4 linked regions of the Drosophila melanogaster genome follow. The protein of the gene in region 1 interacts with the protein of each later gene in a pairwise test. Each region holds a gene or a part of one and is shown on either strand. Other genes may lie near its edges.

The links.
Region 2: the proteins of d4 (region 1) and CG12075 interact in a two-hybrid assay, tested with the Drosophila melanogaster proteins (one large-scale study listed by BioGRID).
Region 3: the proteins of d4 (region 1) and prg interact in a two-hybrid assay, tested with the Drosophila melanogaster proteins (one large-scale study listed by BioGRID).
Region 4: the proteins of d4 (region 1) and CG2116 interact in a two-hybrid assay, tested with the Drosophila melanogaster proteins (one large-scale study listed by BioGRID).

The regions. Positions count from the first base shown.
Region 1 is NT_033778.4:5,289,984-5,297,937, forward strand, and holds d4 (d4), read left to right. Parts: upstream 1-4,079; 5' UTR 4,080-4,281; coding exon 4,282-4,729; intron 4,730-4,813; coding exon 4,814-5,080; intron 5,081-5,132; coding exon 5,133-5,911; 3' UTR 5,912-5,982; downstream 5,983-7,954.
Region 2 is NC_004354.4:8,834,671-8,843,356, forward strand, and holds the start of CG12075 (uncharacterized protein), read left to right. Parts: upstream 1-3,652; 5' UTR 3,653-3,814; intron 3,815-8,686.
Region 3 is NT_033779.5:8,458,696-8,467,194, reverse strand, and holds prg (piragua), read right to left. Parts: upstream 2,708-8,499; 5' UTR 2,586-2,707; coding exon 2,421-2,585; intron 2,363-2,420; coding exon 851-2,362; 3' UTR 501-850; downstream 1-500. UniProt on the Drosophila melanogaster protein: May be involved in transcriptional regulation. The function of this protein is unclear.
Region 4 is NC_004354.4:8,126,275-8,134,468, forward strand, and holds CG2116 (uncharacterized protein), read left to right. Parts: upstream 1-3,537; 5' UTR 3,538-3,644; coding exon 3,645-5,441; 3' UTR 5,442-5,509; downstream 5,510-8,194. Other genes in the region: cyr (cypher), read right to left, coding at 416-704, 787-1,331; CG10958 (uncharacterized protein), read left to right, coding at 6,238-8,194.

The sequences.
Region 1 (7,954 bases):
ACCATCAGCAAGTGTTGTCATTTGCCGAAGGAGCTGCGAGGGCTTCTTGTCCCCAAGGTCAAGCTCCAGTAAAGCGCGCTGCAACTGTCTGTCCGGCGATTCCGTAAATCGCTTGATAATAATCTCCTTCAGGTGCTCGTATTTGTTTACTTCCGAGGGTTGCGCCAGAACATCAGATACTTCAGTCATTATATCAGCATCCAAAGCACTGATTAAATGGTAGTAGCGCGTGTTATCTGAAGAAATGCGGCTGCATTGAAATTGCGCTTCGATCTGCACAAACCATAACCGCATATTTTGCTTCCAAAATGGCGGTAGCTTGATGGTGGCAACCGACTCGACGACAGGAATAACGGTGCCTGCGCTGTTGCCGCGTTGAATTTCACCAGAGTCAGGCGAAGTGGGCGGTGCAGGCAAACAATCTCCGGTGTTCTGCATTTTGCTTATTGCGGGGTCACCAATATAGTAACTTATGTAGTTACCGCTTTATTTAATTACTAAGTACAATATCTTGTTGTTTTATGCCGTAAGCTTGTTGCGCGCGGAGCTGAAGTTTTAGTGTGTCCAGTCTGACGATATCAGAAGATATCGTCCTCCAGGAAAGGTCTTGGCGTTAGTACCTGTTTTCGCCGTGATGCCAGACCGGGCTTCAGTCTGGGCGCCACATATCTTTTAGTACCACTTGCAGCCCTTACTGCTTTTGAGTTGGTACGTGTAATATTTTTTCCGTTTTTGTTTAAAAACTTCGAAACCGCATGAAACTGGTTTCGGTTTTGACCTGAAGCTTAGTTTCTTTAATTTTTCCGGTTCTTAGAGGTATAACGTGACATTTGTTGTTTGCGATATTATTATTATTATTATCCGAACTATTTTATTTGCTAGCGTTCGTAGTAATCTCTTGGATATTGGTGAAGGCTTTGGTTTTTAGATATCCTATCTGTCGTTTTATTAGCTTCCTCGCTTGCGTTTTCTGCTAGCAGTGCAATCATGTTTTTATTGTTGGTAGTAGTAGTTTTTATTTCGCTACCACAATTTTTTTTGGCTCTATTACCTGTTGTACGTTGCGGACTCCGTTGACGTTTTGCAAAAACGTAGCGATCCAGTCTGCATGACCGAATTCGGGCGGCCACTTGGATTGTAGGCTTGCCTACAATGGTTAACGGAGTATGTGTGTAATTTGTTGTTGGTTGCGGCATTGTGGATTTCCAAGATTTTGGAACTGTGCTTGGCAACGACGGAGAGCAAGAGTTCGCTCTCTGGTCTTGAAAGGGCTTGAGCGTTTCCGTAGAAACGAACGAGAAATACGCGTTGTTTTTGATTGAAGAGAGCCGACGCTCGTCTATTTCACGTTGACGTTGATCACGAATTTCGTTTTGCATTTTAATTTCACAGATTTTGTGATTACGATTAATTATAAATTTACTTATCATACTTTTTTAAGACACATTGTAAATAAGAAGAGAGAGAAAAAAAATATATATATATAAAGTATACATGTATTTGATCAGAATCAATAGCCGAGTAGCATACAGATTCTAAACGCAGCGCAAGTCTGTTCACCCATATGGCCACGCCCACTTTTCCGCCCGCTAACCACAGAAAACTGACACTCACACACCTTAGAACCATTTTTCAAAATTGTTTCATCATTTTATTAGTCTTGTAAATTTCTATAGAATTTTTGCCATGCCCACTCTTACTCCCTAAAACCGTCCAAAACTGCCGCGAAGCGGTCACGCCCACACTTTAAGAAATTTTTTTTTTAATTTTTTCTCATTTTATTTCCCAATATCTATTGATATCCCAGAAAAAAATGTTCTCGTTCCCATTTACACTAGCTGTCAGCTAGTAGCTGAGAAATGCTTTTGCATGTTCCGATGCGCACTTCTGAAAGCGTTAGCTTAGAAGTCGGCAATTCATGAAAGAGCGATGATATTTCCTCGCCTTGATTAAAAACATCAATCTTAATCGCTTAGAATTTTTAGGAGAGAGATCACCGTCATGAGAGTCGGCTGTGCAGCCGAAACAATTAGGCTCTGCGACGATTTTGTGATGTTCTTCAAGGGTGATGAATTGTGGATCTGTATGGTACATTCGATGTACAAGTTATCCAACCCATAAACATAGCACCCTTCCACAGTTTATAAACAAATTTCAATTCTCAATCTCGTCGGCATTTCCTTTGTCTTTGTTTTTGTCATTGCCTTTGCCAGCGCTTAGCTACTCGCTAAAGTAAATAACCCAAACTTAACGTAAACACAGCTTCCGCTTGGAGACCAAACCACGGCCAACTTATTACGCTTCAATCAAAAACTGCATCGATCAGCATAATTGAATTTCACAATGCAGTGGAATAATTTCAGCATAAAGCTTTTATCAAAAGTTCAGAAAGTGTCAAAGAAAAGCTTCTGGCCGAGGTTGATTGGATTAGGATTCAGAATTTGAAGATCAGTCTGATTCGGGAGGATTAAAAGAACGGTTTATTAGTGTATAAATAGATAACAATAAGTGTCTTGTAATAAAGTGATAAGTTGAAAAGTTTAACACCAATAAAAATACTAAAAAATAAAAAATTATTTTTTAAAATAATTTATACCGCAAAAAGTTAATTTACATATGTGAGGTTTGAGGCCAAAATTTTTTTCGGCTGCTTTTCATGGCGGGCCCCTGTGGTTGGCTAACTCTTTAGCGTGGAACTCTGAGGTGCTTAAAAATACCGTTTTTTCATTTTCACGGTACTGCACATAGAATTTTGTTTGTTTTCGTGCCTGCCTTCGTCCAGCGTTCCGCCTTTTATACACTCGTTGAAAGTATCCAAGCCAAAATCCCGCCATTCTGGTCTCGATCAGTACTTTCCACGGATACAGACGATTTTCCGATTATTATCGCTACATTTTGTTGCCCAATAAATGATCCTGGCAACTTTTTAATATACACTTACTGGTACGAGCGTCCAAGAATAATCCTGATCTATAATTCTTAATTTATCAGATCGGACACGTTTACTTTTTTTTCGCATATCGATAGAAATTTACAAAACTAACGGAAAAATATACAAATATCAAAACATTTTTTTAATATATTAGCCTGGCAGTCTTAAGCAGTTTGTGAATGCTTCTGGATCTGCATGCTTAATCTCAACCTTATAGCTTTAATAGTTCCTGAGCTTTCGACGTTCATGCGGACGGACATGGCCAATTCAACTCGGCTATTAATCGGATCAAGAATATATATACTTTATGTGATCAGAAACCGTTCCTTCGGGTTGTTACCTATTTTTTAACGAATCCAGTGTACCCTTTTAGTCTACGAGTAGCGGGTTTAGAAATGGAGCAGATGGTATCCTTGTCAAGGAAGTTTGCGGTACAATTTAATGAGATCCAACGCCTATGGTTTAACTTCTGGCGAATGATTGATCTTTAATAAATTTATATCTAATGTATACAGACTTTAAAACTTCGATTTAACTATCGACCCCTGCGGTGTTGATTTCGTGTTTTAAATGTTTTTGTATTTGTTTTAATACACTTGCTATACATCTACATCAAAAAATTCAAATAGAATTGTCAAATTCAAAACGACTGAATAAATTTCACCAGTGTGAATAGAAATAAAGAAGTGGTTTTCATGAAGAGGGTTATGTTTATCATTTTCATCAATATGGCTAAATTGGATAAATAACATATATTCTTAAAAAAAATTTTGAATAACTATTTAAAAGTCAAACTCAGTACATTTTGAACATGACTAATTCGAGACGATATGACCAGCCGTTAAGCATTAAGAGACTTTCACACTCCGAAAATTCTCCTTCAATGCGATAAAAATTCGGAATTAAAAAATATAGCATCAATGGTATAAAAACAAAAAAAAATAAATAAATTCTTTTAATGCAATGTTTATTTCTTAGCACTGGATCAAGAACTTTTGCTACAGAACTTATTGTTAATGTTAACTTATTGTTACGTATCAAGAAGTTGTGAATTGCGCATTAGGGAGCACTTGTGGAAATAACTTATTATAACTATGGTCGAGAACTTTGATATACATTTTGTATCTATTTTAAAATAGAAATACGTTCACACCTTTTCTAAATATTTAATTTTGTACTTCTTGCCTAGTGCCCCATAACAATTCTATATTTTGTTATTTGTATCAGCTTGAATTGTGTGTGAAGAAACATAAATTTTATCAATGACAAAAAAATATGTTGACAATTTAGCTCTTTAGTTTAGCTATTGCTTAACCAAATAATTCCTGCGGCTACCACTCGGCATCAACATGGCTTCCAAATCTGCGTACGAAAAAACTTTGGTAGTAAACATTGCCAATTTTGAAAAAATTCAGAACTTTTTAAATGACAAGGAAAAGTACAAGGAGATTCTAGAAAACAGCGAGAATTTCAACACTCGTCTATGCATTGAACGTCGACTTCGCATGCCATTCCTCGATCCCCAGACAGGTGTCGCACAGACACATTGCTCCCTCTTTATGAAAAAAAAACAGCGAATGCCAGGTCTTCGACATGGTCAGATATACACTTATCCATCGTCTCGGTGGCGCAAACCAAAACGTCAGTACTTACTTAACCCGAATCAAAGTTTCCGAGCCTATCAGTATCGCGAGCACAACCTTCAGCACTCCCACCATCAAACGCATCAGCATCACCATCATATACCTTCGTCTGGCGTTGCTGTACCACAAAATCCTCACTTAGCTGAAAGCGCAGGTAAAAAATTGCAGCTTATCGTCGGATGAAAGTCAATATTTTATACATCTGACATTTATATTTATTATGGGTTTTTATTTACAGCCATTGCTGCTACGGATGGCAACTCCATGGGAGCATCAGGAGATAATGATAGTAAGGACTCACATGCAAACGTCGAAAAAGAATGGTTCCACGATGAAATGGACACATCACATTTTCATCATGGCGATGAATTTGAGGATGACTTTGATTCAGATAACGATTTTGATGAGTCTTACACCAGCCGGGGCAAACGCAAAAAGTGTTCGCGTCCTAGACGAACAAATGCAAACGTAGAGGGTACTCCCAAACGGGGACGTAAAGGTGGTGGTGAGTACAAGTTTATTAAGCTGATGAATTGTAAACGTTATTGATACCCTAGGCAATCGTCGAAAGAACGCCGTTGAGGGAGAATCTGATCGAAAACGTAGAGCCGGTGGAAATAGTGCAAATACATCCGCAGCCGCAGCGGCAGCTGCCGCCGCTGTCGCACATGCAGCATGTACTGCAGCTGCTGTCGCTAGCACTGGGCTCTATGCATCTCATTCCAACTCAGCTTCGCCTATTCCCATAAATGACGACAATTCACAGTCAGGACTCATACTGCCAACAAACATATCGTCGTCGTACGATAAGACTTCAAGCGATGCTGGAGCTTCCAATGACTCAATTCCCCTAGCAACAATGGTTGCCATAAACGCGGGCCTGACAACCTCAAATGTTTGCAATGCGCATCCGGTGCAAACAGGAACAAATCAAACGGTGTTTGCTACTGGTAATAAGGTCAAACAACGTGTAGAACGTGACATAGCGCAACCATCACCTTATTGTGACTTTTGTCTGGGAGATCAACGAGAAAATAAAAAAACCAATATGCCCGAAGAGCTAGTATCGTGCTCGGACTGTGGTCGTTCCGGTCATCCATCGTGTCTGCAGTTCACGGCAAATATGATTATATCGGTAAAACGTTATCGTTGGCAATGCATTGAATGCAAGTACTGCTCCATCTGTGGGACCTCTGATAATGACGATCAACTTTTATTTTGTGACGATTGTGACCGGGGATACCATATGTACTGCCTGTCACCACCGCTTGTGACTCCACCAGAGGGTTCTTGGAGCTGCAAGCTATGCATGGAGGAGTTCCACAAGATTAAATAAGCTAATAAGCTACATTAATAATTCACCAATTATAAGTTAATCTTCTCATAAATATAAAAAACGTACATTTTACTTGGTTTGTTGAATTTTTTGGTCTTCTATTTTTCTTTTTATGCGCCTGTATGGGTTTTATCAGTTTTGGTTTAAGTAACCTAATTAATTTTTACACAGGTAAAGACACTTGACTAGCAACATATATCGAGAGTTCAATTGATAAAAATTATATATATATTATTGTGTAGTTTGGCGAAATTAAAGTCTGCTAATTTAATCCTCGCTATTTTTATTTTTTATTATATTTTATAAATGTTTCTTCTGTGTGCTTTTTGAATTACAAAGTGGCCAAATTAAAAGGAAATATAACCGTATAACGATTAGATTCGTTGAAAAGTATGTAACAGGCAGAAGAACGCGTTTCCGAATGTATAAGGTATATATATATGTTCTTGATCAGGATCATAGCGAATCGATCATGAACTATAAAAGCGCAAGTTTGTTGACCCATATTTTATTGTTTGTCTTGTTAATTTCTGTAGGTATTCCAAAAAACACTTTGGCCACGCCCTTCCTTTAACCATCAAAACGCCCGAAAACGTTGATTTAGAGCTTATAGATTTTTTATTTTTAAGGAACCGAAAAATAGGTGTAATGTGTAAAGAAATAAGTTGGTGAAAGATAAGAGAATCTGTAGCTCGTAGCTACAAATAGTATATTCAGAAAAGGATAGTTTCAGCATAAAGAAAGGATTAGAAATTTGCTAGCTAAACACTGGCCTAATTGAGCTCGCCGAATGCCTTAATCATATATATTTTTGACAGTGAAACGTTTTATCGGAGTGGGAAACTCACTTGATTTATTTATTACTATTATTACTTTATAATGCCCAAAAGGCATATATATATAAAGGTCTACCAGTCTATAAATTCTGTCAGTATATTTTTATACCTGACATATCTGACCATATAAGGTATATATATATACTTGATCAGGGTCAATAGCCGAGTCGATCTAGCCATGTCCGTCTGCCCGCATGAACGTCGAGAGCTCAGGAACTATTAAAGCTATAAGGTTGAGATACATATACATTCAGATTCTAGAGACATAGACGCAGCCCAAGTTGACCCATGTTGCCACGCCCCCAAACCGCACAAAACTGCCACACCCTTACTTTTGAAAAACGTGTTGATATTTATTTAAATTCTTATAAGTCTTGTAAATTTCTATCGATTTGCAAAAAAAAAAATGGTTGGCACACATTTTTCACATTTTGAAAAATTTTTAGATAATTTTTCATAATTTTATTAGTCTTGTAAAATTCTATCGATTTGCCAAAAAACTTTTTGCCACGCCCACTCTACAGCCCTAAAACCGCGCAATACTACCATGCCCACATTTTTAACAATTTTTAAATTTAATTTTATTCCCCAATATCTATCGATATCCTAGAAAAATTATGAAATTACGCTTTTGCATTCACACTAGCTGAGTAACGGGTATCTGAAGTTGGTTCTCTATGGTTTTTCTTTTCAGGCACTTCGGTATCATTGCTTTCGTTCGTTTTCTTATATATCCTATTTTGTGTTACTTCATAGTCCTGCTTTAAAATAGTCAAATAATAGCCACGGAAAGATGCAAAACATATTTTACACTCCGAAATATTTCCTTCCAGGTGAAATGCTTTTTCTTATTTATTTATTTTGTTTTTTTTTTTTTTTTTGTATTTGCAATCTGTAGCGATAAATAATTTTATCACCGTATGAATTGAGCTCCAGTGAGCTCAATCCATATATATACATATTTACATATTTTTATCTATTTCTAAAAATATATGGCAGGTCCAGTACATGAAAGCTTTTTCGTCGCCTTCGGTTGCTGGTGTCATCTTGTAGTCCTAGTGCTAGGACATTATCATGGTCGTGTAGTTTACTTATGTATCGCTCTGCATTTGACTTTATTTCGTCTTTAACAAGGGGAAGTTCCATGTCTTTGTGGATGTCATCATTAGTCATATACCATTGAGCACCTGTGATTGTTCTTAGCGTT
Region 2 (8,686 bases), on another chromosome or scaffold:
ATGTTCGGGCTCAGATATACAGATACAGATGCAGATACATATTCGGGGGACCGGGTTCAGGTCCACTCCACTTCAATTCATTCCATCTGTGGCATTTCTCATTTTGGCCAGCATTTCGTTTTCCGTTTCCGCTCGACGTTCATCATTTGCATAGAGCGATTTGTTTGGCTGCTCGTCAAAGTTAACAAATGTGTAAACGCTTTTCGGTTCGTCCAATAAATCAGGCTTAATCAACGGACACCTTAGTTGTGCCGATCTCCCGAAGTTTTTTGTCTTCATTTGTACTTTTGATAATGTCATAATATAAGTGCGCTTCCAACTTATGCTAATGACACGCATTGCAACGCTGCAAAAATAAATTCATCAGAAATCTAAGCAAACTCCACTTAATTTACTGGCACATGGCTCCACCCCATTTTATGCCACCCACACGCTTGATAGACCAAAAGAAAAAAAAGGGAACAAAACTGGAAAAAGTCTGGGAGAGTGTGGAGAAAACGATCCCACTCGATGACTGGCAAGCGATTTCGACGCCTACGAGTGGCAGAAGCCTCCATAAAGTGGAACCTCTCAGAAATATGCTAAATAAATCTTTGAAAAGTATTTCATATACATTTTAGGTTGCCTAAATAGTAGAATAACTTGCTGGAAACTTTCTGACTTACTTTAAAAAAAAAAAACATACAATTCATTGCTTTTTCGTTAGCTGCGTGTGCCCACTGTAGCCGCACACAAAAGCGGTCCATTCATGCCAGCAGCAGCAGCGATTCGAACGCTCTGACGTTCCATTCATCGCCACTCGCCCGCTGCAACTCATTTGGGAAACCAAAACCCAATGTACCATGATCACAAGAGATCGAAATCGGCGGAACGAGAATCGTTTTGGGAGAAGTCGTCGAGCCAGAAACTGAGTCACTAGCGATGCCCGACGATCGATACGGGATGGGATTCCAGGGCATGGTGCACGATGCTAATGCGACTGCAACGGAAATCAAATCTTTCATAAACTAAAGAAGTAGATGTATATGAAGTACCCATCTCCAGTTAATATGACACATCTTAGAACGCAAACATAATGGCTAAGCTATCATTTGCTACTTCAAGCTTCAACTTCCTGCGGATATACATATGTATTTTTGTGTGTGGAACTTCAGTCTGGTCCTTAGTTTGACCAACTTTGTGGGGAATCGACTCCTTTTGCGACAAAGATAAACAAAATGGCGCCCAAGCCGGGCCATTGGCTAAGTTATGGTGACCGGCAGAGGGACAAAGGCGGAATGCAAATGCAATCCCCAGGCTCACAAAAAAAAAATATATATATGTACACATACACACAAAAAATAAAAAAAAAAAAAAAGGGGAAAACGAAAATAAGAAGGGGGATCCCTGGCCCAGCGTCTGCAGCTGACATGATATACGCTTTGATGTCTCGTTTTTTTGATAAAGTACTCAATCTATAAACGCCAAGAGCAAAAAACCGACTGCGGACCGGGGTCAATGCAAAAATATGATATGGAATTGCCTGGCCCTGGATCGGAATCTCTGGTATTGGCGACTGGCTGAGATTGGGATTGCTATTGCGATTGCGATTCGGATTCGGATTCGGATTTGGATTGCGACTGGGACTGGGACTGGTACTGCGATTGAGATTGGGCTGGTGACTCTGACTGGTGCACTAAAAAAGCGACAGCGCGCTGAAGCAGAGCCGCCAGTGGAAAAATGAAAACAAAAGCGAGGCCGAAATCAAAATCAAAAGAACCAGGCAAAAAATGGCGAGCCAGCAGCGACGCTTTAAAGGTAAACACCCCACACTCCTACTGCTGCTCCTGCTCCTGCTCTTGCTCCAGCTCCAACTCCAATACCATGACCAAAAGCCGGACAAATGGACAGCGGGACAATGGACACTGGGCACTGGACACTGAGATTGGCAACGGCTTTTGGCTAATTCGCGATGCTCCACACACAACGAAAAAAAAAATGCTTAGCTGGTAGCCGAGCACTGGAATACCCTAATATTTTGACTATTTACAAAATTCTTCATATTTCAACACTAGCTTAAATATTAAAAGATTAAACAGATTATTTTCGAAACACTATGCAATATCATGCAACTTCACCTATTTCACTGCATTCATAAATAATCTTGTGAAAGGTTTTTGTATTTCTAAGTCATCAAGCTGCATCAGCAATTCACCATTGCCCGAATGCTTGCAGGATATTGAAGAGCTGAAATGTCATTCATAAATCATACGCAACGATGTTGCTTGCCGCATTGGACTACGTTGCCATTTGCTCTACGCTTCTTTTGCGTTTTTCAACCATTTTTTGTCTTGCCATTTTTCGCTGCGTTTTTTTTTTTGCACTTCGTTGCTGTGCGCTTTAAATCGATTCGCAAGCAAATTAAAACATTTCAAGATTTATACGCACAACTGTCAAAAAATGTTCAAGTTCGTTTATCAGCGTGTCCTTATCGCACACCCCATACCAAAACCAAAGCCCCCCCCCTGACGATGCTCCTTTTCCTTAAATTTGCATTTTGCATTCGAAAGGCAACTTCCGGCATTCGTTTGCGAAGCCTCACTTGAAACGCACAAATGGCCCCACAAAAAAAAAAACAGTGGAATCTCCGCAAAACGAACAGGTATGTGTGTGTTTTCTTAAGTTAACATTTTATTTATTTTTGGAAGATTATGACAGTATTGGCAAATAAAACTATATTGCAGTGCATACATATTTAACAATAAAGATTCGCAGAAAATGTGTATCAACTTCAAGGATGCACTGTAGTTGGCATGCATGCATATATACCAGATAGAAATTTCATAGTTTTTGGTTGGCTTTGCGCAGCGTTAAGCCGCGGGCATTTTTTGTATGTGTATGTGTGAGTGCGTGCGTATCTGTGCGAGTATCTGTGTGCCATTCGAAAGTTTCGAGCGAAGCATCCTCAGGCACACAATCCTTGCAATCGCGCACAAAAAATTGACTAACTTTTATCATTTTCATGGCAGAAAGTTAAAAATTGTTAAAAATGAAAATATTTTTGCACGAGAACATGGGGAGGGAAAGCTCAAAATGAAATCATAATTTCAATTTCTAACTTCGAAATGCAAGTGCAAAATGTAAAATTAAATACGCAAATAGAAACACAATACAATATCCGATGACAATAAAAAAATAAAGAAGCAAACTGTAATGAGGAGCACAGCATTAAAAAATGGTTTTACCAGTTTCAAAAAGATTTCCATTTTTTTTAAATTTACAAAATATCACAGTTAATTTTATTTACCTTTTCTGTTATCACTCAGTTAAATTTAAAGTTACAGAATTGCTTAGAGATATTTTGAGTACCGGTTGGTGTCTTAGCTAATGCACTATGGTTCATTTCTTGGCTAATGTACTAAAAGCGAACTTCTTGCGCGCTAACTTAACGAAGACGTCGTTCAGTTTTTGTTTCAGGTGCTGTGTCCCGACTAAGTTGTACATTTTCGAAAATGTTTTATTATTTAGTTGCGCTAAAAAACAAGCTACAATTTGTGAAAAGCTCATAAAAGTTGAACAAAAACCGGTTTCAGAAGATCCCCCTTTATGCCACAATCAACACATTTATTTTCTCCTCTTTCTCCCGCGTGTTTTTGTTTTTGTTATTAATTTTTAGTTTATGCGCGTGTTTCAAAGAAGTTGGTTGTTTTAGCCACTTAACAATCAGTATAAACAGTCCCTTTTCAGTGTTTTTTTTCCTGTTAAAATCAAACAAAAGTGCCTATTTTAATTACTTTTCGAACGAGACACTAAAATATAAGCACTGTTTTATGAGGTAAGTTAACGGCAAATTAAACACAGCTCGCATATTTATTTTGGCCAGGCCAATTTGTGGCCTATGAAAAGATGAGCGCGATCTGAATGAATTTTATACCAGCACGTGAGAGAGCTTTCTTTCAGAGAGTTAGTGTGGGTCACCCTTGAGATGAAAGTGCAGCTGGGGGGCCAGTGGGCCGGATGGAAGGTCACCAAGTGTGAGGGAAATTGTGTAGAATAACAGGTGAAAATATGTGAAACGATGCTAAACATGGTGAAAACCAAAGACAATTGGGTTTATTTTGAAATGCAGCATGAGTTCGTAGAACTGGACCAAAAAAAAACATCTTAAGATTGATAGTAAACCAAAAACCTTTATGACAGCTCGTGAATAGAGAGCCCTGGCAAATCTATGCAATCTAATGAGATTCTGCCATCTAATTAGCTATGCTCTGTGAGAATCGCATAGAAATGCGGATTAAGTTGATTTTGGCCTGAATTTGGTACCAAAAGCGGAAGACGTTGGAAAACGGCTCTTTGTCATCAGGCTGCACATTAGGTTTGGTCTATTAAACGTGTGTGTTTGCTCACCGCTCACAAGAACCTGCGATATGTGCTGGGGGTAATTAAAGAGACAACATCTGCAGAATGCTGGCCGAAGATCTTTTATTTATGACTTGACCATTCACCCAGGCTCAGCATCATCAGGCAGTTCTTAGCATTCAGCTACGGGGCTTTAGTCCCAGCCTGGCCAAAAGTGTTTTGCAGTGGCTGTGTGTTATGCTCCGGCTGCTGCCTTTCCTGATGGCCAACAAATTCATAAACAACGCTGAAATCAAGTTTCGAGAGGCTCGAAGGGGACCGCAGTCCCAGTTGATGTAGGCACAATCAAGATGTTGGCTAGGAAAATTCTTGGACGCGCTGGGGCCTCCTCGACTTACCACCATCCGCACAAAAACTTCTCGTCTCACCTATTTCGCCAGAGTTAGCAGCTCTTGGGTAGCGATAAACCAATTACCCTTTGTTTAGACTTTAAAAGTACTTAATTTCTATAATACAATTATATGTGATTTAATCAATCGGCTTGGTAAACTGGATAGCGAAGAAGTATCTTTTAAATTGTAACTTTCGAAGGGATTTCAAGCGAACCGTATCATGATTTATTTTAGGGTACATCCATATTCGTTGCTGCCCTAGAAGATGCCATTTCTTATTCAGTTTTCGTTTTCGTTATTTATTTTTATCTGCATTTTTCTTTTGGCCGAGACGAAACGAGTTTTCCAACATTTTAAGCTTTTCTTTGGCCCCTCTCCCCCGATTTTCCCTCATATCATCTGGCTGCTGTCTTTGCGCTTCGCTGAAGTGAAGGAATTTAATGCCACACTGAAAATTGCAGCCTCTGATATTCCATATGCATTTCCATTATTATTTTCATCATTGCAGTCATCTTGAGCAATTGTAGACGAGGTAAAATGTCAAGTAAATCATTCGGTCAACTGAGTTTTACCTGATCATTTAAGTCGTGCAACAAATTCAATAAGCGAAATCATGCAGTTGCAAATGCTCACTGCAGATAATGGTGTTCAAAGTGAGTACAAGTCAAATTGCAGACCACGAATTACTTATATCGTATTATCCAATCAAACCACTTTGACTTTGATAAACGCGTTATGGGCCCTTGACTATAAAAGTGAGATTTATGATTCAAAGTCTATAATTGACTCCCCAGGCTCGATATGTGGATCATTCTATCGAATGTTCTGATCAGAATACAGAGAGAAACGATTTTTGCCAAAAAATTCAATATTTAGGATGGCTTTTTTGGCTATAACTTGACTAAAAATGGTCACAGAGCAAAAAGAAGTACAATTTTATACTCTCTACAACCAATACTAACAACCCCTTTCACTTTTGAACTGATTTTGTAAAATTAATTTTTGGCCAAATTTTCGCATTTTTTGTAAGGGGTAACATCATCAAAATTTGCAAAAAATTGAAAAATCCTATAATTCCCAAACTTGAATGCAAATCGATTGGAATTTAAAAAACAAACTCAATGAGGTATGACATTCCATATTTGGGTAATTATTTCCAATGTTATGATCAAAATACCAAATATTTTTTTCACACAAAATCTGGAAACTATTCTTGGCAAAAAACTGAATTTTCATTTTGGCTTTTTTGGCTATAACTGGACTAAAAATGGTCACAGAGCAAAAAGAAGTACCATTTTATACTCCCTACAACCAATACTAACAACCCCTATCACTTTTAAACTGATTTTGTAAAATTAATTTTTGGCCAAATTTTCGCATTTTTTGTAAGGGGTAACATCATCAAAATTTGCAAAAAATTGAAAAATCCTAGAATTCCCAAACTTGAATGCAAATCGATTGGAATTTAAAAAACAAACTCAACGAGGTATGACATTCCATATTTGGGTAATTTATTCCAATGTTATGATCGAAAAACCGATTATTTTTTTCACAAAAAATCTGGAAACTATTTTTGGCAAAAAACTGAATTTTCATGTTGGCTTTTTTGGGTATAACTTGACTAAAAATGGTCACAGAGCAAAAAGAAGTACCATTGTATACTCCTTACAACCAATACTAACAACCCCTCTCACTTTTAAACTGATTTTCTAAAATTAATTTTTGGCCAAATTTTCGCATGTTTTCAAAATTTTCAAAACTTACAAACAATGGCAAAAAAAAGTTTTCTTCTTTTTGAATACAGTTTGATTGGAAATTGAATTACGAGCACAACGATATATCACATTCCATAGTTGGAGTATTTTATCAAATGTTATGGCAAAAGAAATATGTATTTTGCAAAGTTAATTCATTTGAATGGAATGTTGGAAAAGGCCTCTTGATCGATGGTTTGTGGCTACCTGGACGCCTAATTCACACGCACCTTAATTAAATCGACTATCGGTTACCTCGCCCTTTTGCCATTTTTCATCTGAAATCTCTTCTTATTTTCGTATTTTCTTTTTTTTTCGACTGCCTCTCTTGTGCGTGAGCGTACGCTTTTAAGTTATGTTTCGTGTTGTTTCCCTGCTCGTCGAGATTCTTTTCACTTTCTTCTCGGGAGTGTGAAGTTACAACAATGGCACCTGCAGCAGCCACATCCAACACACACAGGTGCGACTGACAGCTGCCCCCAGGGGGTGAGGGAGAGAGAGGGGGAGAGGTGAAGACGGGTGGGGAGGGGAGTGGCACCGATGGGGGGAGGAGCTTTTGGGGACCGACAAAGGCAAATGCATTGTTCGATTTAACTTTCACTGATTGCCCGTTGACAATGCGATGTGGCTGCTCGTAGGTCGTACTTATACACACACACACACGTGCACACACACACACAAGAATGTGTATGTGTATGTGGGTCTTGGCATACAAATGATTAGCAAGTACGTCGGCAATACTGCGAAATTCCATTTACTTTCTATATGGAAATCTATGTGCACACTCGAAAACATAAAGGTAAAAATTAAAATAAATCTCGAGAGCTTAGAAAGTTAACACCCAGCTGAGTGTGTATGTGTGGGTGCGAGATAAAAAACGAGACAGAGCCTGAGAGAAAGAAAGAGTGCGATATAGTTCTTCAGAGGCGACAACTAATTTGAGAAATTATTTTTTATGGCGTGCGGAAGCTTTGGCGGCCCCAATTCCAAATTCCCAACTCCCTTTGCGTTTTTGCTGTTGTCTGTTAATTAAATGATTGTTTTTTTTTATATATATATTTTCTGTATGGCATTTGAATTTTGAGACGAGATAAACAGCGGGGCTGGGTCTTTGAAAGACTTGATGGATTCCACTAAAAATATATACATATTATAAAGGTTTTTAAATGCAAAGTGGAAGAGAAAATCGCTGGCTTTTTGGATGTGTGATGTTAGATTGATTGGCGTAATTTTTGGGAATTTTTTTTTTTCAGCAGTTAACTAGATAGAAAACGAAACAGGTATTTAAAGTTATGTTCGGCCATTTCTGTATACATTGTGAAACACTCGATGTTGCACATTAAGCTGCCTGCAGCTAGCTGACAACATATGCAAATTCATCATACAAACGATCAGCACCTGTTTTGTTCAACAGGTGTACAACATTATCAGCACACAAATCACGGGTTTTTGCAACCACACAACAATTGTGGACACTCAGCACGTTTACTACAAGTTAGTTAGTTAGTTGATGGAATGGCTAGGAAAAAAAAATAAGAAAAAAAATTAGCAATAAATTGAGAAATTTAAATTAAATGCATCACAGTGTTTTTTGCAGAAAATTAACAGCTATCTTAAAATATAATATAATTCTTCAGTATTTATGTAGCATTTACAAAGTGCTAAAGAAATATTTTTGCTTCCTCGAAAAACTCTTTGTATTTTGAAAGTCGGAAAAATTTGTGAAGCTTGACCCCCTCCACCTGCAATGGATTTTTTGATAGACTTTGGGGGGCCCTTTGCTCTCGGTTTCAGTTGCGGCGGCTGTTTTTTTTCTTTCATAACGAATCTAATTTTATTGAAGGTGAACGGAAATGTGCGCTAATTTTTCAATGATTAATGATGTCTACCCGTGTGCAGTCGCTGTGCAGGCCGAAATGTGATTTACTTTAATTAATTAAATGCCAGCAAATGCCGAACAACATTGAGAGTGAGTTTTAGTTGCAGCAAGTTTCAAGTTTCTTGACCTTCGCAACGTCGATTTCAACAGCAGCAACAACCCATTCATAACTCACGACTTTCGCGACAATTTTCACCTATAAGTCATCCAAATGATAACGAAAAAAAATGAAAAAAAAAAAGGATGGCCGAAAAGCCATCCACCAGCGTTCGTGTGACAACCAGTTTGTGATTTCCCTTTACAGAGTGTCTACTGTACATGCA
Region 3 (8,499 bases), on another chromosome or scaffold:
CATACACATAAATCGCCTGCGAAGTGACCCTTGGCAATGGCGAAGGTAATTGCGTACTTACCGCTCTCAGCGGAACCTGAACCTAACCAAAACCAAGCGAACCGTAAGGTGGATTCGTATTCCCTCGATTGCGTGCCCGTTTCGGGAATAGATTTATCGTCTCGTTTGAAATCCGCACTTTATTTATGGTAGCTTGGCCACATTTCTTTGCGGATCTCCCACTCCAATACTTATTATTTATTATTCTATCAAACGTTACGTTACACTGTCAGCACCAGCACAATTCACTACGCGCACTTCGAGGCGATTACGAGATTTCGAGGCGATCAAGATCCGAGAGCGCTGGTCGAGAGGCACTACCGTACGGGGCGAACTCAAGAAAGAATCTGCAGCGGTGCAGTTGCTCTGAAGATTTCGGAGAAGACCTTCTTCGTATCGGACAACGTGCAACTTGTTGCACGCAACATGTTGGTCTGAGACGACTGCTAATACAAAATGTTCAAATACCTTACTTGATATTTTATTTATATATTAAGTAAACCTACTTTAAATAGGTTTAACATAACTTAACTTTAAGAAGTTTTTTATAGAGCAGAAAACTTTCTTTAATATCTTATGAAAAATAATATCTTCACAAAGTCATACGATCTCGAAGAAAACCGTTTCAGATTTGGCCTTTTATTAAAAACCACTAAGCTACATTTTGGCAGACAATAGTCAGATGACTTAAACTATACAGATTCATTAACACCAATGGATTCTATGTTGACCTGAACGACTAAAACAGCCTTGACCTACAAAACTTTTCCGACCTATCAACTAAGCTTATTAAACATGTAAATATGTTGTTCTATTCCTCGGGACGAGTCTCGCTGTAGAAGCCCAGATTCATTGTGGGAATCATGTTGCTGTAGAACGACAGTTCCGCTGCCGAGGGACGCACTAGCTGGGGATCCTGAACTAGCGGAGCCGTCATAGCCACTGGAGCCTTTTCGGCCATTTTTAGGGGTAAAATAGCAGCCTCTTGAGCCCGCTGGGCCATCTTGTGCTGCAACTGATGGACTTTGAGGTGATTCTCCAGCTCAATTTGATGCAGGAAGCTAATGCAACAGATTCCGCACGTAAAGCTGGGACCATGAGCCTCTAGCTCATGGCGCTGCAGTTGCTCGCGTCGGTTGAAACCTTGATTACATGTCTTGCAGGCGAACAGCGAGTCCATGTGAAGAGCTTGATGGCGTTGCAGGTCCCTCTCCCGTTGGAAAGTTCGATCGCAGACATCACAGTGGTAATAGCGTGAGTTTTTGGTTTGTGCGGCAGCCTTTTGTTTAGCCTGCAACGCCTGCTGCTGCAGATCACCCTCCATCGGGGGAATTAGACCCATTTGCTGCTGCTGCTCCATGTCCCGCCTGGTATGGACTTGCTGGTGGGCTATTAGCTTATCCCTGCGCGAAAACGAGTAGGGACAGCGTCCACATTGGAAAGCCTTTACCTCTCCGTGCGAACGTGTGTGGCGCATCATTTCCACAGCCGTCTGGAAGGATCGCGGACACTGCTGGCAAACAAAGGGCTTGACACCGCTATGAATGCGCATGTGCTTGGTCAGATTTGTATTCCGCGAGAAACTCTTGGAGCAAACGTTGCATGTGAAGGGCCTCACGCCAGTGTGCACGATTGTGTGCTTTTTAAGATCGGAGCGGCGCACAAAACCCTTCCGACAGTGAGCACACACATACGGACGGTCCGGATCATGCAGTGTCTTTATGTGCGAAATCAAAGCAGGCCGGGTAACCAGCTTGATGTTGCAAAAGTTGCAGCAGTACGGTGCGTTGGGATCGTGTGCAGCCAGCTCGTGCTCTTGACACTCGGCGGGCAGAGTGAACCCAAGATCACAGTATTGACAGAGGAACGCTCGTTTTGGCCGTGCCTCCGTGGTGTTGGCGTTGTTGGCAACGGACTGTTGAGCCGCCATCTGGGCCGCATCCATGCCCAGTGGCATGTCGACGTCTTCGCCGTTCTGGCCATCTTCCTCGTCCTCCTCATCGTAGTCTTCCTCCTCCTCCTCATCATCGTCGTCATAGTTTTCGTACTCCCCATCGGAGCCGAGTGCGAATTCCTCTTCACTGCTCTCTGCCAGATTCTCTGGATCAACTTCCACAATAATGCAGCCCTCCTCGGGTACGAATACTCCGGGGTTGCCATTCAGGCCTGGACGGTGCTTCGGATGATCTTTAATCATCTCCTTCAGCTGCTCCTGCAGGGACTGTTCCCGCTCCTGCATTCCTTTTCGCAGCTCGAATGCCTCTTCGAGGATCTCCAGACACCTTGAGCAAATGAGCTCCGACAAACATTCGTTGCGATCGTACTGTAGGTGGAGAAGTTATTCATGCACTTTTTCCATGGATTATAAATGGCCCACTCACCTGAACGCTCCAGAGACTCTTGGAAACCTCTGCAATGGACACATCCTTGCAAAACTGCACGGTGTCATCGAAAATGTTTAGCGAGTTGGGATCCGTATTATGGTGGCACAGGCGACAAGTGCTCACATCCTGATCCTGGGTCATGCTGATATCCGATGTATGCATTCTTCAATCATATGCATTTAAGCCGGGATTGCAATAAATTATCCAATTGTTTAAGCAAACAAAAGCCACACCGGTAGCAAATAAAACGCGTTGGTCAATGGCCAATCTACCACGATAGTATCGATATGTCGCGAAATTAAACAACATGGTCCAATCGATTGTCGGAGGAAATCGATAAGCCGCTGCACAGTGGGTTACTTAATTGAATTATAGGAATTTTTGAATATTTGAAGTTTTTAAATTAAACAATTTTGTGTTTTATTAAAGTTCAGATTTGTACCTTTCCATTTTAAAATACTTTTACTAAAATTGTAACAAAGCCATATCTAATACGCAAAATAAACGTCAGCATCTTTGGTAGCAAAAACGAAACTACTTATGTGTAATTCTTTGGGGTTGAAGTTTGATGATGCTCAAATTCAATAAAACGCAGTTTCTTTCTACACATTAAAAATTTGTAAAGCTGTTTGCATAAAATATAAATTATAAGACTTATAAGGCTCGTGTCACACTTTTAAATCAGAAATGCACTTACGATTAAAGCAGTGGGCGGCAGGTACCTAATTGATGCGTACCTATGTAGGTACACGCCGTGAACACGCGAAGCGAGAGCTTTTTCAATTGCCCGCGGACTCTTGATTAAAGCGGAGGTATTTTTCGAGTGCCGGCACTCTTTCGGCGAAAGCGGATGATTGTTTAAAAATCTGTGCGTACGCGCGTATATTCCTTTAACTAATCGGGATTGATTGCTTGCGCGGTTATTGCTTAATTGCAGTGAGATTTTTGGTTCTATTGAAAGTGGCTAATGTTCGTTTAGTGGAATTTATTGCACTGCAGATGCTGCAAATTATACTAGAACACACACACACACATCGGCAAAACAACTGTTACGCCTACGCAGCAGCGGCAACAACAACAACAACAACAGCAGCAAGGGAATTAGCAGCAACAATTTTCCACCCATAGAGGGAAATAACTGTTCCGTGAGTTTATACAATTTGGGCTGTATTTGTTGTTTTCCACCCACGTACTTTTTGTCTTTATTATGCTCCTGCCGCTTCTCCTTCTTTCGCTCCTTTTCCCTACCCACCTCCCCTCTTCCACTTCTTTTCTCTCCCATGCGGTTAGTGTGTTATTCCCGTCCTTAAGGAATAAAAGCAACAGCAACCCCGTGTACATTTATTGTTCTCTCCCCCGATGCACGGAGAGAAATTTGATTTTGATGTGTAATCAGGTTCAATTTTATTATTTAGATTATATGCATAAAATGATGAACTGATTGGACCACATTGCTAAAGGAAACACAGGGTTTTTTTTTTACAATTTTGAATCAACTACTCCAAAAACATAAACACCGTATGAATGATGATCGCAAATTTCAATGGAATAGTTTTTTTTTTCTGTGTACCTATCATCCTGTTAACCCAAGCTTTGCCCTCGCACCCTGTAGTTCTCATGAGTGTTAAATTTTCTGCCACCAAGTCCCTGTTAATTTTTGGTTATTGGGATTCCTCACTTTTCACAGTTGCCGTTGCGCGTATGAAAATGAATTTGTGCATTTATAATTCATAAATAGGACTATAAAAAAGAGAATTTATAATTTCATGAATTTACCGAAATTGGGGTCTTTAAAATGCGTCTATTAGCCTATTTAGGTAGTGATTTGTAGTGAGTTAGTAGTGAGTAGAACGAAAGCACTCTAGCGTATGCACTATCTGCCCTAAAAAGTTTGAACATAAAGATAAAATATAATTGCTTAAGTGAAATAAGCGCAAAGATTGCATTCGAGCTTAATGGTCTGATTAAAGTCCCTAGAAGCAAATCTATATGATATCACCACACCGAATTAGTAAATATCCTTACCCTACGAGACTTCTGCTAACTTAATATTTACACTTGCATACAATTACCCCTAAACATAGGGAACATGCCATTTGCCGGCCACATGAGAGTGACTTCCAATTTTGTGTACAATGAAAAACAACTGAAGATTGCTGTCCTAAACATTCCACTCGGCAATTAAGTGCTCGGCAATGATCATTCGATGAGGAAAGTCCAATCAGCAGATCAAATGAATCGGTGCCGTGACTCAAGCTAGGTCTAGTTCTACAGCTTAGAATCACTCTCCCCGTTGACTTTGAACTTGACTTGAAACGCTGACGTTAAATTGACCTGAACGGCAATTGGTGGCTGTGGGGGAGGTCCAGACCTCATGTCCGGACTTAAGTTAATTTCCGCGGCCGCGTCACATGCGTAGCAACTGTGTAACAAAACCATGCCCATAGTTTCCCAGCGTGAAATCATGCCACAATCTTATCAGTAGCCTAAAGCTTATGCTGCCTGAATGAATCGATGTTCCGCTGTCGCACACCGAACGCTTCGCTGAGATTGTCGTGCGTCGAACTGATACTGATAATGGGTGTCAAACCATTTACCCCCTTCGCAATATTAAAAGCAGGCGATGACGGTGGACATTGTAAACAAAAAGTCAAACATGTGCAGTAGATAAATTGATTTTAGCACACTGTCAGAAATGTAAATTTAAAACTTAACCCGTATGAGTACAAAGTGTTTTTCTAAAATTTCTTCATTTGCAATCCAGTAACTTGTAGGCTGTAAAACCATGTCGGTAATTTTCTTGTCATTCAACCCTCTAGAATAATCACAGTAAAATCAATTCCACAAATGGAGCTGAATATTTCTCTTACAATAAATGTAGTTTCCCATATCATTGTTTATTTTTCGTTGTGTACCAAGAACCCAGTAAGCGCAGGGGTATAAACTACGATAAATACGTGGAAATATTATCGCAAAGCTCTTGTTTTCTGCAGAACTAATAACATAAGCCATTTATGACCAATTACTGAGCCGCAATATCGAAAATCTAATATTGCCGTGCAAATTAAGTACAAAGTTGGAAATTATAATATGCTTTCGGAGGAACATGTGACATTCACAAGCGTTACACAAAAAATCAATGAAAATCCAAGGAAAATGGCATAACCATTAGATCTCAGCGCTTGTAAAATCCCAAATAAGAAGACTTTACTCGTTGAGTTTTTGTAAGAAACTGATTTTATTTGGAAATATCTTCGGTTTAAATAGGTGACATGAGAATCGCATCTTAAAGTAAATGGCCTACGCAGAGGCCTAAGTAAATAGTCCCCGCCTTATCGAGGTCCCACGCTCGGGCACATCTGCCTATCTTGAGCGGCGAGGACCTTATCTGTGGTCTCCCACTAAGGGACTATTTTAGGAGGCGGGGAACGATCTCAAGTGACTGACTCATGTAGTGTGCACTTAAATTACATGTTTTTTGAGCAATGCACCCATGTCGCCTTAGATAACAAAATCCTAAATATAATTTATCGCTCTCGATTCATTTACATAAGATATGAACGGAGCCCAAAATTGTAAGTCTTTAAATATATTCGTGTTCATGTGTGAACATTCTGCCAAAGGGCCAGCAAGCTGAGATGTACATTAGTATATTAGTTGCATTTATAACAGTAGTGGACTGTATTTATTTGATATATGTTCATTTATTTTGCAACTAAGATTTCAATGGGCCTAGTTTTTCTGGCTTTTAATTTTATTGGATTACAATTATGGTTTATATTATTTTTAATTCATCAATTTGTACTCAATTAACTTATTTTAAACATTTTGCTTTTTCTATGTAGAAGTACATTTTCTATTAAACAACGATATAGTGGACTGTATATTTTTATTTGTTATATTATTTTATTGTTTATTTACTATTGATATTTATAGTACTGGCAACGGACCTGCAAAGGTTATTGCTTGCATTCTTTGTTGCACAGCACATTTCCGTATGAAATATATTATTAATACTATCATTAGTATTAAAGCAATAATTAATCCAGCATGTCCGGAAATATGATGGAAATGTAAATCTTTCAATTTTTGATGGTTCTCTTTCATAAATTTAATTTCATTATTCAATCGTTCAAATTCCTCAGTATGATTTAATATTGATAGTTTCAGCGGATCCCAAATAATCTTCGGCGCTTCACTAACTTCTCCTATATAAGGTGTTGATAATAATTCTTCACTTTCGGACTGAATGTTATGGTGGGCAACTAGAATTTTATCGTCGGTTCTTGCCGTACAATATGGCGCAATGCTTAAAACTCCTTGCTGAGGCAAATCAAACAATTCAATTTGAGAGCCAGTACATTGCAGACGGACTTTTGAATTCGCAGGAACCTTAAACAACCAACTACTTTTCTTTTCTAACTCTACCCAGTAACTTTTAGAGTCGACTACTGTTTTATAGATGCAGTTCGCCGCTTTATCTGGCTTTAGAGGCTGAATCTCACATGCATTATCATTCGCTGAATTCCAGGGCCAACTTCCTTTGCATATTCTCTTATTTAGTTGCCATTTCTGACATTGATTTAATGTGGCTTCCGTCATTATGTGATAGGAATCTATCTCAAAATTATAAATTAAATATTCGGACGTTGTATGCACCATTATTATCCGATCTTCATTTCGAATTGGCACCGGAATAAGCCTGAACAATTTGGATGGATGCCTGCTAAACAGAGGCACTTTTGCACTAATGATCAATTTATCGTCGATGAATAAACCCCTGGCTGTTAACAGTGTATACACCTCCTTAAGTTCCGTACCTGACCGTTTTCCTGGAATTACTAGGTTCTCCGAAAGACTCTGCTGAATTTTGGCAATTTCTTTTTTAAGCTGATTTGGCCTGAGAATATTTGTATTTAGCCTACCGTGATTAATATCAATCAACAGGCTTATAATGCCTGCTTGAATTTTTTCGCCTTCTTCAATCAATGAGTGTAGCTGTTTCGTAATCATAAAGAATTTTATTGATTCCTTATAAACATAATAATTTTCTTTAAGAACTTCTGTCATGTTCTCAATTCTTATTTGCATACTTCTAAAATTGGAGTTAACATCTTCTGTTGTTCTCTTTAATAGATTAGAAGTTGAATCAACCACAGATGTTTGTTTTTGAATTAGTTTATCAAGGTTGTTCTGGTTATCTAACAAATTCTTCATATTTTCTTCTAATTGCTCTCTATCATCTTCATCCATTATACCAAATAAAATATGATACAAGGAACCCATAAATTCGAAAGGAGCACGCTTGCTTCTAGATCTAGACTGTATCATAAACAATTTATTGTTTTCTTCAAGTTCCGATAACTGACTTTGCATATTATCTAAGACTAGACTACATTGCTCTTCAAAGCTATGAAGTCTTTCGCAAACTTTCCTCATACTTTGTATAAGCGCATTACCCTTTGTTAACATTTTAAAATATGGATCCATTTTATAATAGATAACCAAATTCCAAGAAGTACTCACAATCTCAACATCTCCTAGCGGGTCTAGATATATTGCTGAGGTTTTATTTATTTTGTCTATAGAATATCTTGGTGCTATATCTTTAGGTAATGCGCTAGAAACTTGACAACTTAACACAAACAACAACATTGCCATAATGATTCCGATCTTGGACATTCCCGATGTCGCTCTAGTTCGTCTTTTTGGCTCTTGGTCAGCCTCATTTTTGTCAACAGACTTTATTCCTTCCAAGGGACAAATTTTAGTAATGGGTCTAGTGATATATCCTTCCTGCATCTTTACTTTAGCCACTCGGACCTTATCATCATTCCCCTTATGCACCTTTTCCACCTTTCCTAAAGGCCATCTTGCAGGATGACAATTCTCATCCTTTAATAAAACTATTTGCCCTTCTTCTATATTAGGAATTTCCTTTTTCCATTTATTCCTTTGCTGGAGCGTATGCAAATATTCACTTTTCCACTTAACCCAGAAATCTTTCTTCATTTTTTGGATAAGTCTCCACCTATCCAAATTTCCGATTTTTTCATCTTCCATTGGTTCGACTATT
Region 4 (8,194 bases), on another chromosome or scaffold:
ACTGAAAACTATTTTATGATATTTCTTTTTAAAATTTTGGAAATACTTTAGTTCTGGCAGCTTAAATCATTTGGCAGATGAACTTAAGCGAACTTTGTGAATGGATTGTTTTTCCCACTTGTTTTTCCCATCGATTGGCCCGATATACCCTCTAGATTGATACCCTCTAGATGTCGCACATAAAAATGAAAGTTAAATGCGATCAATCGCAGATCGCCCCACAGCATCGAGATCGTGGCTAATTAATGACTTTCCGTTCGTCTCGTCGCATCCAAGTTAAGTTTCTAACGGTCTGGTCTGGCGTAGAATGTCGCGCCGCCGGCACCTGTTACGCAAATGAACGATCCACCAGATACGTCCATATATATATGCATATGCATATAGATAGATAGCTTCAGCTGATCGCTTCACTCACCTGCTCGTCGATGGGACAGCCGCGGGCATCGAGTAATTGCTGCGTGGATTCGCCCAGTCCATCGAGTGCCGCACAGTCCACCACCCGCACTCCGATGTTTCCGGGCACGATGGCTCTCACCGTCAGCGTGGTGGCGACGCCCACCTCCACGGATCCGGTGCCATTGGGACCGCCCAATTCTAACCAGATCCTAACGCGTGGCGTCTCCCGCTGCTGTTGATTGATGGACGAAGTGGCGCCGAGAGCTGGAACTGCAGCAGCAGCTGCCAAGGCTCGCATCCTGGCATTTCTACATATATATATATATATATATCGAATCATAAAAGAACTTCTCCATCTTGTTACATTAACTAAAGCATTTGTAGAATTACCTATCGTGACCCTTTTCCTGTCGCAACACCGGAAGTGGCATGCCCATCGCATTGGCCGGAAGTTGGCATCTCACCGAGCTAAGGATGTCGGTGCTCTGGCGCAACTTCTGCTCCTTTTGCAGCATCACACGCACCGTATACTCCAGACTGCCGTCCTCCAGTGGCTCTGCCCTCACTCCGCAACCCGATGTTGGGATGCGCAGATGCAGACGCGTCGAGTCCTTGCCACGTGCGCGACACTCCAGCGGAAAGTCCTTGGCGTAGAGTAATCCGCGAAAGGGACGGCTCAACTCCAGATGCATCTCGAGCAGCTCCCGGCTGCAGTTCACCTGCATCGCCTGGATTTGCATGGTCTTGGTTGTGGTGGTGGTGGTGGTGGTGGTGGTGGTGGTCGTATCGTTAATGAAACTTTCCGGCGTTCTGGTTGTCCAGGCAGCATGACACAGAAACTGCGGCAGATGCAACACTCCGATGGCGATGGCCAATGGCAGCAGCTGGCCGAGATTGAAGGATGTGGACGCGGCCGAGGCGCTGGAGGAGAACATGTTTCCGATTTCCCGTTTTCTACCAGTGGCAACGGCAAACCGCCCCGCCGATGATCAAAACCGCAAAACGATAATGATGCCACTTGTTGCTGCTGTCTTTGGATGTTGCTGCTGCTGTCACTAGATGTTGCTGTGTTGGAAGCGACGACACCTGTTCGTGCGGCCGCGTGGCTAACTCTTAATTGGCCTACTCCCAGTCCAAGTTCGAGAATCTTGTCTGCGAAATGGAAATGCATTAGTTGCATACATAGCATAGCGATGATTTTGGGTCAAGTAATTACGGGGGGGGGGGGGGGGGCATGGTGTGTACTTGTTGCTGCTGGGCTTTCGTGTTTAAATGGGTTAACTAAACTGGAAATTTTGTACTTCAATTGTTAAATAACTATTTAAAGGTATAGCTAGCAATATTGATGATTTTAATCAATTGTAGGGCTAATAGAAAAAGGGAAAGGGGCACAACGCTGTCACTTTATGTAATTTTTAATGGCCAAATAAACGAGAGGCCAATCTGGGGTAGCCCTTCCCTGCCCATTTTCGATGCCATGCGATGCGATGTGATGCCAAATCCGCGACGAAAGCGGGTCAAGTTTGTCCCATATTTGTTTGATTGGATGGAGTCTATAAAGCAATGGAGCTATGGAGCCATGGGGCTACCGGGCTAAAGATGTTGCAGCACGGCGAACAAATAAATAAATAAATAGATGCGATAAAGGCAAACACCGAAGCTTAAATCAACATCAACATAATGCGTTTGCAACTTTGCGTAATCCTATTTTGTGATGTTACTAGCTGGCAGCTAGTATGGTTGGTTATTCGCTTATTGTGCTCTCTATTTGTATTTGTGATTCCCATCTCTTATTAACTTGACTGGGCATTGTAATCAGCCCAATTAACAATATAACTTGGACTCTACTTAAAAACTAAATATACAAGTATGTATGTATTTGTATCTTTCGAAGTGACGGTGCCCTTCACTCGTTTTGAGTTATTTCAAAATCATAGGGCTTATGTCCTTAGTCCTTAATCTTACAAATTAATATACTGAGATATTATTCAATATAACATGTGTGGTTACAATTGTATAGATGTTTTTTTGTCAATAAACTTATACGATCCTTTCAGTTGGTCCTTATTCTAAATCGCACAGATAAGTTCTTTAAATCTAAGTGTGATATTTTTTTAACCATTTGTTTTTACTGTAACTTGACATAGTTTTTTTTTTTTATGTATAACTGATATTATTCTTACCTTTTAGAACGAATTTAATATCCTTTCATCATCCCAATTTTAGCATTCTTTAAGATTTCGCGTTGAGCTTCTTCTCTTTTTCTATAACACTTATATTATAAACAGTAAAAAAAATCACATTCCTTGCGCAATTATGCGGTCAATTTGAATTGCGAAAAAAAGCAGAAGAACCGCAATTTTCAAATTGGTTAATTATCAGCTACTACGCATGCGCGCACTTCGCACGCTCTCAACGAACAGAAACAGTAAACACCGTAAAAAAAAAAACAAAACACTAACTGCTATTGAACAAGTGGATGAGATCGCGAAACACGCCCGTTTTGGATTGAAGAAGTCTCAAGAAGACAAGCGCGCGCCACCGAGTGTGCAGATGCAATGCACCGGGCCAATTCCGAGTCCAGAAGTTAGCCAAGTTAGTCGCGAGCGCAGACCGCAAAACAGTCAGTACAGCAACAACAACAATGAGGGAAGGGGCCAAAAGCGGCAAAAGACGTTGGCCGACGTCGCGCATGCCCAGCGATGTTTTTTTTTGGCGCGCAAGCACCTATTCAAATTGCGCGTTATCGATAATGCGCATGTATCGATATTTTGCGATCTATTCATCGGCACAATATTTAATTTATTTATTATATATATTTTAGTAAAGAAAATACACGTTTCACACAGGCAATGATCGAAATTCGAATAGATGTATTCGCATTTCTCGAATTTTCGTTTTTCTTTTCAAAAAGTAGCAGTTATTTGATCGAAACAAAATTAATATTGGTCGATATATGGAATGTCATACCTCGTTGAATTTGTAATAAAGTTTCAAATCGAGTGGCATTTACAGCTCAAAATGTTGGATTTTCATGATCTATGATCTACGCAGAGTGAGTCGATGTATGAAAGCGGAAGGAAGCAAGCATTTCTACAAAGCGAGTATTTTGTTGAAAATTGCATCGATACCTGGTATCCGATAGTTAGTTTCGGCCAGCAACCTGCGACTGGTCACACTTGCAACTTTTTACGTTTTTTTTCGGCAGTCGTGCGAATTAATTAATTAATTCAGTTGATGTGACCAGGATGAGCCACAAACGCTGCCTTGCGAACGAGGTAATCGAATTCGTCCTGCCGGCCAATAGCGATTACTCGGACGAAGACAACCGTGGAAACGTTCGTGTGATTAACACTAGCGATGATGCCACCTACGTGCTTCTGGACAACCTGGGCAACGAGTTCGAAGAGGACATCATCATCGTCAATGAGAACGGCGTGGAGAAGGAGATGCTGATGAGCAAGGAGCTGCGCGACTTTATAGTGGGCTCCCGGGTGAAGGATTTGACGGATGACGAACAGATGCCGCAATTTGTGGTCAGGGAATTGGATATGAGCGAAGTGGGGGATTTGGTGGAGGTGGAACCGGAGATGGAACAGGAGGCGGACTATGGCGACTACGGCGACTACGAGCACGAACCTAGCTACGGCCATCCGCGCGATAACGAAAGGGTGGAAGAGGATCTGGATATGTATCCACCGTCGTCACCCTCGCTGCCACCATCGCCACCAAGGCCGCCGTCGCCTGTTGTCCAGCCCGCTAGCAAAGCTAGAAATTCTGCCCGCCAGATCGCCTTACGTAGCTTTGTCAGCCAAAAAAACAACGACGACGATGATGGTAGCGTGAAGGAGGTGAAGCCAAGCGAAAAGATGCTGGAGGAGTTCAAGGGACCGCGTCGCTACATGCTTTTCGACGACCTGATAGCCACCATTGTGGACTTTGACGAGGATAGCACACCCCTTGTGGAGTTCTCCATGATCAGCGACATCATGGACGAGAAGCTGCCGGTGGAGTGCGGCATTTGCCCAGATGTGATGCACAAATCAAAGCTGTCCAAGCACCACAAGACCCATCTGGTGCCTGGCACCAATCGCTATGCTTGCATTTACTGCACGGAAACGTATCGCGACTGCAAGTACCTGGCCGGACATGCGCGGCGCCACATGGGCATCCGTCCATACGTCTGCGAACTGTGCACCCTATACTTTTCGACCAAGCAGGATCTGCGCGTGCACAATCAGCGCCGACATCTGGAGAAGGAGCATATTTGCGAAGTGTGCGGCAAGACGTTCGCCCAGAATACCCAGCTGAAGCGGCATCGCGAGGCGACGCACGAGAAGAAGCGGCGATTCCAGTGCGAGTACTGCCAGAAGGCCTACTACAAGAATTTCTCTCTGCAGGAGCACATCCGCAATGTTCACATGGGCAAGCGGCGGATGCTCAAATGCCCATTCTGTGGCATGCAGTGTCGCGATGCTCACAAGATGGCCCGTCATCGTAAGGAGATGCATCTGAGCCAGGGCACATACGTGTGCCATTTGTGCCAGGAGGAGTTCACCGACATCAGCTACTTCGATGCCCACAAGCGTTCGATTCAGTGCCGTAGCAATACGCGTCGCTTTGTGAATGCGGATGGGAATCGTGAAGGATCCGATTCGGAATCCATTTCCGGTCGCAATATGAATGGCCAGGACGACGATTACGACGGCATGGGCCCACTGCAGGAGGAGTACGACGAGGATGACGGCCTGTTGGTTGAGGACAATCAACCAGAGGAGCAGGGTTCGCCGTCCAATCGCCAATATTTGGACGAGAGCGAGCAACAGTATGTGCAGCTATCGGATTACGATGACCAGCACCTGCTGGTGGAGAACGCAGTGGACGCAGAGGATGGCGGTGAGGATTTAGATGAGCTGCTAACCGAGGATCAGTACTTTAACGCTGTCCAACAGCATCACCAGCAGCATCAGCAGCATCATGGCCGAGGGCAGGACTACAACGACGAGCTGATATATGAAATCACCTTGAAGACTGAGGATAACTGAGTGCCGCAACTCCGCGCAAATTTTGTACATATATAGGTCGCAATTAAATACTATCATGTAAAGAATTCATTCGCTTGACTTTGTTTTTGAATGGCAGTACCAAGTTTTTTGGTCGAATGCAACCCAGTGTGTACAAATCCGCAGGGCTGTATTTTAAAGGGCATCAAGTTCGGACTGTTGATTGCAACCAAGGGGTCAAACATCGCGCCTTTTGGTTGTACCAAGGGGTCATTGCGGTTTTGGCAATGGAATTTTCCACTCATTTTGCATTTAGCAAGGCCCCGGTGACGTCAGCACGGGCTATACAGCAGGAGGAAGTGAGAAGGAAATAACTTTAGCTACAGCACTTATTGCTCCATTTCGATAACGATTATTTCGGGTGGAGATGAACTAATTTCAAAACTAAATAGACTTTTATGTATTAAATACGTATTATTCAATGATTTATTGTTAATTATTATTGACAAAATATGGTAAAGCAGTCATGAGACACTTTTTATTAAAAAAAAAGATCATGTATATTTGCTTAAGCCTGCACTTCTCTTGTTTTGCAACACTAATGGGGCGGGCACCACTGACAACAGAAGTAAACAAACGTAAAGACAACATTTTTGTTTCTACCGGAAAAGTAGGCGAAATGGGCAATGACCACGAAACCAAGGGAACCCGGGATCCTTCGATCAAACTTCTCCAGTCACACAACAAACCACCTTGATTTGGAGCAGAGTTGCCTTCAGAAATTCCGCACAACAAAGCGATTCTCATCCAAATCTCGACCTGGCATATATTTTAAACAATGGACGACAACGAGGATGAGCTGGAGGAGCACCAGGAGCTGGTCAGCGACGGCAGTGTCGAGGAGGAGGAGGAGGTGGAGCCCGATCTGGGACCAGTGGACAGTTGGGAGTCCTTTAATGACCGCATCGATGGCCTGATCTTTAACGAGCGATGCGACAAGTCGGTGAAGAAGTTGGACGAACGCCGGCTGGCGATACTCAACCGGGTGCGTCAGCAGTTCCGCGAGGCCCCGAAAGGCGTCGCCGAACGTTGCCAGGCCCAGAAGTCGCCGATTGATCAACGGCTGGAGTTGTCCAGTGAGCGATTGAACGAACTGGTGCGCTTTGGCAAAGAACTAGTGACCAATGTCCGGGTGGCCAACGAGCGAAGGGAGCTGAATCGCCGACTCTTCGAGGGTGCGCAGAAGAATCAGATGCATGTGAAGCTGCAACGCGAAAGCGTTGAGACAATGGCCCGTTTCGAGAACATTAAGGCGCGCTGGACGGAGCTGGAGGAGACCAATGAGCCGATGCTGTTGTGGGACCAAATCGAAGAGCAAAAGAAACGCATTGCCGAGATTATGGCACGCAAGGATGAGATGATATCTGCCTGCCAAGCGGAGGTGGACCGCATGAATGCCAAGTACGAGTTCGATCGCGAGCGGCAGGCCCAGGATCTTTGTTGTCTGGTGGAGCGCGTTGATCACCAGGTGGAGACGCTTAAGGAGGCCTACAAGGAGCACATCCAAATGCTGCGGCAAACCATCGAGGAGGAGCGTCAAATCTTCGCCGATAATGCGGTGGAGAAGTGGCGCACCTTCTTCGATGCGATGAATGCCAACTTTGACGAGAAGGCCAATTTGGTAAGGGCACGCGAGCAATTCTATGCTCGCCAAACCCAGCAGATCAACGAGTCCCAGGAGGAGCTGACCAAGAGCACTCGCATTCGGCTGGAGAAGGAGTGCGAGAGGCTCGAGCTGGAGCTACGTCGCACGCGCGACAATGTGCTGATGAACTCCGAGAAGCTGGACTACAACTATCAGGTTCTCCAGAAGCGCAACGAGGAGAACGTGATCATTAACAACCAGCAGAAGCGACGGGTGGCCCGACTGCATGAGGCGATCGGACGCACCCGGCGTGGCCTGAAGAATCTTTACAACACGGGCAAGCGGAACATAGCCCGTCTTTCCTCGGACATCTACAAGCTGCACTCCAACATCAACGATATGGAGTCGAAGGCGCATCAGGCGAGGCTGAACAATCGCGAAAAGTTCGATCGCATCTGGGAGATCAACTACAAGGAACTGAACCTGCTGGTGGATCGGGTCTACCACATCGATCGCATCATACACGAGCAGCAGTTGGCCATGCCGTGGTCCAGCCCCGTGCCACCCATTCCAAACATCAACAAGGCGAAGAAAAAGCGCAATAACATTCTGGAGAAGTTTGACATGCGAATTGGCCGGGTTCCCAAGAACAGGGTGATGCCCAACTCGGGCGTAAATTGCAAGCCGGATATCAAGGAGCTTCCGCCGGATTCACTACGCTTGATGCGTAATCTTATTCGCAAGCTGTCCGATCGCGGCGGTTTCCTCATCGAGGAGCGTCTGCTAAAGATTCTTGAACCGTATTCCGAGGAGGAAAAATGCCTGGTACGCATCGACAATATATTTGCGGCGCTGCGAATTCGTCATCTGCGGGATGTCAAGGAACTGACCAAGGTTTTCATGCCGTACACCTACTGTCCGAATTGCCAGCCGCAGGGATTGAGTCCACGCAAGTGTGCCGAGGTGTTCATGAAGGATCAAAAGCCAAATCGGCTGCAGGGCGCGGCGGGTGGCCAACCGGATGAAAAGGAGCATAGGTCGACAGGGGATACATTTCTACCCAAGAGCGAGGTGGCGGCCAAGAGATGTCACAATCACTATCTGGTCATGGAACCGGCCCTCTGCCTGCACGCCATGAATCTGTTCACCT